Linked DNA regions of Cricetulus griseus. The protein of the gene in region 2 purifies or fractionates together with the protein of the main gene of each other region. This does not show direct contact. Links are inferred from orthologs where the notes say so. Each region holds a gene or a part of one and is shown on either strand. Other genes may lie near its edges.

Region 1 (4,214 bases), on a different chromosome or scaffold from region 2:
ACATACCGAGCCAGAGGCCGGCCTCGTCTACATAAAACTGTCTCAAAACAAAAACGGGGATGGGAAGAACTGGGATTGGAATAGAGTTCAAGTGCTCAGTCTGGGCATGCCTTCTTTTTAGGACTATCCCAGGATGAGAGTGTATCTGGTTTGCATGGCAACCCAGGCTCCTGCAGCAGGATGTCTCTTCATCGCCCTCAAGCCTCCCCCACCCCTACCCCCCTCGGCAATCTGGTTGGTTCTGGACCCGCCTTTCTCTTGCTCCCCGCCCCACCCACTCTCGGCGCCGGCCCGAACTGGCGCGAGTCTGGGAAGTTGTCTGGGCGCCCACTCTATCCCCAAGTCTGTCTGAGACTCTCTAACCATCCACCCCCTCAACCCCACCCCCCACCCCTGCCTAACCAGCTCTTCATTAAGACTTCCCATCCGTGCTCAACTTAGTGTTCTACGTGGGAGACACGGGTTAAGCGAAAAGGGAAAGTCCTGGGCTCAGGCCGGGCTTGCAGTCCCTGGCTGCTCCATTTGGTCCCCCAGAGCTCATGGAGCGCCCGCCTGCCGCGAGGAGATCTCGGCTGTATCCCCCGCTTCTAGAACAGCTCGTGGCCCGAAGCTGGGACTCTGTAATTACCTGTTAATTAGATGCATCCCTCTTTGCTTATGAAATGAAAATGAAGCAGTGCTTCTGTGTAGGTTTCTTGGGATCTGTTACACATAGTGCTCGTCGTTAAGTTCTACTTTATAATAAAACATTTTAATCATTTTTTTAAAAGTTTCTTCACGAATTGGTTGCCTCTGTTGTGACTTTTTTCCTGGGAGTATAGCTGTACTTCTCAAAAGGTCCGTAAGTGTTTTCTGCTTATCAACATCTAATCCTGATGTCATTAATATGAATGTGCAGTAACACATACTTGGCGACCAGAAAAGCTTGGATAGTAGTAGCTCCTGACAGCTCAGGGAATGGAGTCAGACCCTTACTGAGCTTCCAACATTGCCGCCTACTGGTTAGGTAGGCGCCAAGTCACTCCCGCCACCAAGTCACTCTAGAAAACTCTTAGGTCTAGAATTCTATCCACTTGAGCAAGGATGGATGCGCGACCCACAGAAACTCCCTGGCTGGCACCCTGCTTTCCCCAAGTTCGAGAACTTTATCCGGCCAGGCTCTGGACCCACGAGGTGACCTACAAGCCGAACAGCAGCCGCTCTGGTACTTCGGTGTCCCAGAGCCCTGAGCCCCGCCCCCGCCAGGCTCCTCCGCCCCTTCCGAGCTGCGCATGCGCTGCACCGCGAGCGTGTTTTTATAAAAGTCCAGTTCGGGCCAGAAACTTCAATTTGTTGCCTGGTGCAGCAGGTAGCAGAGACCCTCCGAGGCGTTCGGTGCTCCGGTAGCCACCACGGCTGGAGAGCGAGTGTTGCCATGGAAGGCATCAGTGTAAGTGTAAGTCCAGTTGCATCCGACTTTGTAGTAAGCGTGCAAAGTTAGAGCGCAGCCCCTGTAAGAACGGGTACAAGCGACTAGAACCTTGGGGATGTCGGGGTCACGAAGAAGGGTCGCGGGAACTATTTTTGTGTGTGTGTGTGTGTGTGAGCATGGCTATAGGGGGAGGAAGATAAAAAATATTTATCCCAGTAAATAGCGGGGGGGAGGTTCGGATGCAGCTTTCCTGAAGCTGCTCCTGTTTCCCGCTTGAGTTCCGTGGCGCGCGCCGGCTTGCACGATGTTTGAAAACGTCCTACTTTTTGTGCACACGGACGGTGAAGGCTCGCGCTCTGTCCCAGTACTCAAACATGGTCTGGTCCTCCTGGGAACAGGAGTTTCTTGGAGTTTCTTACATTGGGTGAATGTAAAAACTGGAGTCGGTACGTGTAGGCAGAGTTCCCAGGTCGACACTACATCCTGGGTTAGCTTCGAACAGAAGAAGCATCTTGGAGCGGTTCTTGGGATTAGGAGTGTGGTTCCAAGGAGCGCCAGTCTCTGGCGGGAAACGCGAACTCGCCTATCGCGTCGCTTGCCTAGCGGGGGTCCAAACCTCGGCAGCCGCGGGGAGGTGACCGAACGCGGCCGCTTTGGGGTGGAGTGGCAGCGCTTTGCGGGGCATCCGAACCGCCGCTTCTCCGCGGTGGCAAACGAGCCTCCTGAGGTCTGGGTTGCCTTTAGGACCGTTCACGAGAAAGGGGCATAAACCTGCACCTTGCAGCTGCCGGCCGGCCGGGAGGTGTGCCGGGCGGGATGGTGGTTGGGGACAAGAGGGCGTGTTGGAACCGCACCTGGGTTGTGCCTGGTCGACGCAGGGATGAACAGGTGCAAGCCTGGAGTCGGTTTGACTGAGCCCCAGTGCAGAGTTTAACCGTCGGTGGTTTCCTGAGTCTTTTGAAACCCCCTCGCTTAGGGAGGGTTTTGTTGTGTGTGTGAATGTTTTTTTTTTTTTTTTTTTTTTTTTTTCGTTTCCTCCCGCGGCGCGCAATTCAAAGGCGCTCGCACTGGAGCCGCCCAATCTGTCGCCCGCACCCGGAGGGACGATCCTGGCGCGCAGCCAGGAGGAACCCCTGGAACCGCTGCCGGTTGGCCTTAAGCCTGGGTGTAGTGGGCCACAGCGCCAACCCCTAGGTGGGTGACTCGGACCTCCGGGTGTGCATGGTTTCGACCCTTCCAGCTGCCTACCTCGGACTCCAGTAGCTAGCTGGGTCCGCTGCAGGGTGGGAAAGGACCGGGAGAGTGAGGAAGTGAAACTTGGGGTGAAAACCACGGGGTGCAGACCCCGTGACTTTCCCCACCCAGGATAATGTGACTCTAACGTCCCAAATACACCCAGTGATAAACATGGGGGTGGCAAGAGAGACCTACCTTCCAGAGAAGCGCCCGGAGGTGGGGTGAGGTGGAGTAGAGGAGTGCTGTTTGCTCACTTTTAGCACCCCCATAACCCTAAATCCCCAAAGATCCCCAAAGACTTTGGCATTATTCCTCTTTCTTCACTACGTGTGACTTGAAATGCAGTGGCTTGTGTTTAGACAGATGTGAGGAAAACAAGGTTTTGCCCCTAAAAAACGTTGTCTTTGGGGGGAACCCCACCATCATGTTCCGTTTTCCTCTCTTCTTTCCTTTGCCTAATCTTCGTACAAAAACTTAATCCCATCTCCTCCTCCAACGCAGATTTAGCTTCACACCTCTCGCTCCCACCCTACAGCGCCTGGGAGTGACTTCTTTTGTGTGACCGGAGTTTTTTTTGTTTTGTTTTGGTTGGTTTGGGGTTTTACTTTTTTTTTCCCCCTTGCCTCTCGTGGGCGGGCAGGAGAGTTATCCAAGACTAGGCTGTGAAACCCTTAGAATCTCAACGTCCTTTTGTTCTTAACAAAGACTCCTAATTGGTTCCACTAAGGGGAGGATAAAGAAGTGACTGTGAGGGAAGATGGAGAAAACCATCGGTTGCAGGATTTTGTATTCTCTCTGGACCTAAGCCAGCCTTTTGGAGCTTCCTGGAAAAGGCTTGGTTAAAACCTGCAATAAACGGCTAGGTGGTTTTTTGTTTGTTTTGTTTTGGCACCAGAAAACTTAAAACTTGGGAAAGGCTTGTTAACCTTGTAAGTGATGTGCATGTCCCTGTTTTCTTTTGCAGATATACACTGCAGATAACTATTCTGAAGACATAGGTTCAGGAGACTATGACTCCAACAAGGAACCCTGCTTCCGGGATGAAAACGCCCATTTCAATCGGATCTTCCTGCCCACCATCTTCTTTATCATCTTCTTGACTGGCATAGTGGGCAATGGCTTGGTGATCCTGGTCATGGGTTACCAGAAGAAACTAAGAAGCATGACTGACAAGTACAGGCTGCACCTGTCTGTGGCTGATCTCCTCTTTGTCATCACGCTTCCCTTCTGGGCCGTTGATGCCATGGCTGACTGGTACTTTGGGAAATTTTTATGTAAGGCTGTCCATGTCATCTACACTGTCAACCTCTACAGCAGTGTCCTCATCCTGGCCTTCATCAGCCTGGACCGGTACCTTGCCATTGTCCATGCCACCAACAGTCAGAGGCCAAGGAAGCTGCTGGCTGAAAAGGCAGTCTACGTGGGTGTCTGGATCCCTGCTCTTCTACTGACTATACCTGATTTCATCTTTGTTGACGTCAGCCAGGGAGACGGCAGGTACATCTGTGACCGCCATTACCCTGACAGCCTGTGGTTAGTGGTGTTCCAGTTCCAGCACATTGTGGTG
Region 2 (3,500 bases):
TTAATTACATAATTAATTTGTACAACTAATTTATTATACAAATTAATTCATTTGTATAATTCATTTGTATAAGTTTATGGGTGTTTTTACCACTATGTACATTGTATATATGGAGGTCAGAGGACAGCTTCTGGAAATTGGCTCTCCCCTTCGACCATGTAGGTCCTTAGGATTGAACTCAGGTCATCAGGTTTGGCAGCAAGCTTCTTTACCTTCTGAGTCATTTTGCCAGCCTGCAAACTCTTCTTAGTAACTAAAGATCAGGGGATCCCACTACCTTTCTTGAACCCCAAAGTATACGCAGTCCCATTCTGGCCCACAGAACTCTAAGGTTTGCAGTTATTTACACTTCCGGACCTGGGGTCCAACAGTAAGCTATTGGGCCTTTCTTTCTTAAGGCAGATCTTCCTAGCTCTTTGTGGGGTTTTTGGTGTGTGTGTGTGTGTGTGTGTGTGTGTGTGTGTGTGTGTGTGGTGTTCATGAGTGCACAGGTGTGTTTGCACATCTGTACAGGTACATGGGGAAGCTAACAGTCAATCTTGACCATTGTTCCTTGGGTACTGTCAACCTTGGTTTATTTTTTCTTTTTTTTTGGGGGGGGGGCACTTGCATTTACTTATCCACCATGCACACACACATGTACACACACATACACATACTAAGCTATGTGTATGGAGGTCAGAACACAGCTTGAAGAAGTCAGTTCTCTCCTTCTACCTTGTGAGGTTCCAGAGAAGCTATCTTCCCAGGCCCACCTGTTTTTTTCTGAGATATGGTCTCTAACTTGGGACCTAGGGCTCCCTATTAGGCCAACCTGTCTGGCCAATGAACCTGTCTGTGCCTCCCCAGTGCTGGGAGTGTGTACCACCACACCCTGCGGGTCCAGGGATTGAACCCAGATCCTTGTGCTTGCACGGCGAGCACTTTACTGACTGATCTGTCTCCCTCACCCCCACTTAAATATTTCCTTTTTGCAGTACTAGAGATAGGAACCAGGGCCTCACTCATACCAGGCAGACTATACCAACTTATGTCCTATGTGGATGGGTTTTTCTTCAGGTGCAGGGGTGGGTGTAGGAGCTGTACCCTGGGTGGAGCTTAAGGGAAGGCAAGTGGGTTGATAGGCTGGGATCTCCAGTGTGTTCCCTCTGTTCCCCCAGGGCTTCTGTTCCTGGCTGACAGCCATCTTCAGGATAAAGTAAGTGAATGGTCTGCACACTCTAAAGAGAAACAGAAAGAAACCTCAGAATCTGTCATCTCCTTCCAAATCCAAAGCCAGCAGCTTTGAGGCCTTAGTGCTCCTAGCCATCGCAGTACCCTGCACCCCACTCCAAGAGGCCAGGCAATGGGGACCCAGCCTGGGCTGACCCTCAAATGCTTATTCTGACCCACCATCTCCTCTGTGACACTCTGCACGAGGTCAGCCATGCCCTGATCTACCAGCCCTGGCCACAGGTTGAGAGCAGGGGCTGGAGCCCCCATCTCAACTTCTCTGCAGCCAGCGGGTGGGGGCAGCAGGCAGGCTGGAAGCAGCCAGCCAGCCACGCAGGCAGGAGCCAGCAGCCAGCAAGCAGGCAGAACTCAGGACATCCAGCCAGAGTCCACAGGCAGGCAGTGAGCAGTGAGAAAGGCAGGAAACTGGGACAGGTCAGCACTGGGGCCCTCACCATGCTCTGGACCCCTCCCCTAGTGTGGCCCTTGGCCATAGGAGCTCAGCTCTGGTACCCTTAAGGCCCTAGAAGGAGCTGCTGCTGCCCACTTCCCAGCCTCCCTCCCTTTCCATCCCTCCTTGCCCTCCTCCCCCCCTCCCTCTTCTTGTCTTTGCCTCTCCATTCCTAGCCTTGCTTTCTCCCTCTCTTGCTTCACCTTTCCTAGCCACTTCCAGGCTCTGTGCATTCCTCCTCCTCTCCTTCCTTCCCTTCCAGGAAATCGGGATGAGAAGTTCACCTCAACCCCATTGCTGCCCCATCAGCAGGGGTGGCCAGGGTGGAGCGGGAGGGGGTGAGCAGGTTCCAGCCTTCCCTTGCTGCTCCTCACGGCATCTTCTGTGTGCCTCCCGTGGCCTACAGGGACGATGAGATCCGGGACAAGTGTGGCGGCGACGCGGTGCACTACCTGTCCTTCCAGAGGCACATCATCGGGCTGCTGGTTGTCGTGAGCGTCCTCTCTGTAGGCATCGTGTTGCCTGTCAACTTCTCAGGGGACCTGCTAGGTCAGTGAGGGCCAGGTGGCTGGAGTGGAAGGGGACAGAGGGCGTCTGGCTGACCTACCGCCATCCCCTTCTCCTTCCCACCTTCCAGAGAACAATGCCTACAGCTTCGGGAGAACCACCATTGCCAACTTGAAATCAGGGTGAGGCCAGGGAAGTAGCTCTGCAGTGGGTGGGGTCTAGGGCGGAAGTGAGAGGTGGGAGGCTTCAGAGATGGGTGGACACGGCAGAGGTGGACCCTGCTGACCCCGTGTGACCGCCCCCCCCAGGAATAATCTCCTCTGGCTGCACACCTCCTTTGCTTTCCTGTACCTGCTGCTCACAGTCTACAGCATGCGGAGACACACCTCTAAGATGCGCTACAAGGAAGATGACCTGGTGAGTAAGGGCAGCCCGCCTCGGCTGCCGGGGTCCCTCCTCCACATGGAGTAAGGGCCTCCCTCCAGGGGCCCTCGGAAGGCAATGCCTAGGCCGCTCCATGCTGGTGAGGAAGGGCAGCCCGCCTCGGCTGCCTGGGGTCCCTCCTCCACATGGAGTAAGGGCCTCCCTCCAGGGGCCCTCTGAAGGCAATGCCTAGGCCGCCCCATGCTGAGCCTGACCCTTGGGAAATACCATGGCTGATAGTGCTGTCAGATAGTTGTACTGTCGTCTTGCTTGATATGGGTGGTGGGAATATTCCTTCACCTTCTGCAGCTACTTACCCAGCCTGGACCGTGTGTTTGTTCTTTGCTAGCCACTGTGCTGGTTCCTCAGGGATGTAAGTGTCCATCCACCTGATAACACCTGTAACCCCCTGTAACAGAACAAGGCACCTCATGGCTCCTCCATCAGGCTTCTATTACACATACTCCACTGAGACCTGACAGATTCCCACCAAACCCAAACCCCCTCCCTGCGTCCTGTGGCTCTCCTGGAGGCCACCTGCAGGGAGACAGGCCTGCTGTCCTCCTCCACAGGTCAAGCGGACTCTCTTCATCAATGGAATCTCCAAATATGCAGAGTCAGAAAAAATCAAGAAGCATTTTGAGTGAGTAAGCAGCCCATCTCCCCTCAGACATGTAGGCCCTTGCCCACCCATTAGCCCCAAGAGCATCTTTACACCCTTGGACTCTCCAGCAGTCTGCAGCCCAGGCTGAGTGGAACAGAGCGGGGGAGACCTCACATCCCGAGCTGGGGCTGGTCTCCCACTTTCCTGAACGACAACAGCCCCTTCAGAACTGGACAGGGCTGAGGGGTCACTCGGGGTCATCCATGACCTTGGGTTTGATTTCCAGCCCTTTGAGAGAAACAG

What was found. The genes of interacting proteins can lie anywhere in the genome.
Region 1: the proteins of Tmem63b (region 2) and Cxcr4 purify together in Homo sapiens (co-immunoprecipitation; 3 studies listed by BioGRID and IntAct, with this or other methods). This does not show direct contact. The link is inferred for Cricetulus griseus from reciprocal best matches to the Homo sapiens genes TMEM63B and CXCR4.

Annotation. Positions count from the first base shown.
Region 1 is NC_048598.1:60,235,089-60,239,302, forward strand, and holds the start of Cxcr4 (C-X-C chemokine receptor type 4), read left to right. Parts: upstream 1-1,414; coding exon 1,415-1,435; intron 1,436-3,611; coding exon 3,612-4,214.
Region 2 is NW_023276807.1:31,988,961-31,992,460, reverse strand, and holds part of Tmem63b (CSC1-like protein 2), read left to right. Parts: intron 1-1,160; coding exon 1,161-1,198; intron 1,199-2,069; coding exon 2,070-2,212; intron 2,213-2,300; coding exon 2,301-2,352; intron 2,353-2,478; coding exon 2,479-2,587; intron 2,588-3,165; coding exon 3,166-3,236; intron 3,237-3,500. UniProt on the Homo sapiens protein: Mechanosensitive cation channel with low conductance and high activation threshold. Osmosensitive cation channel preferentially activated by hypotonic stress.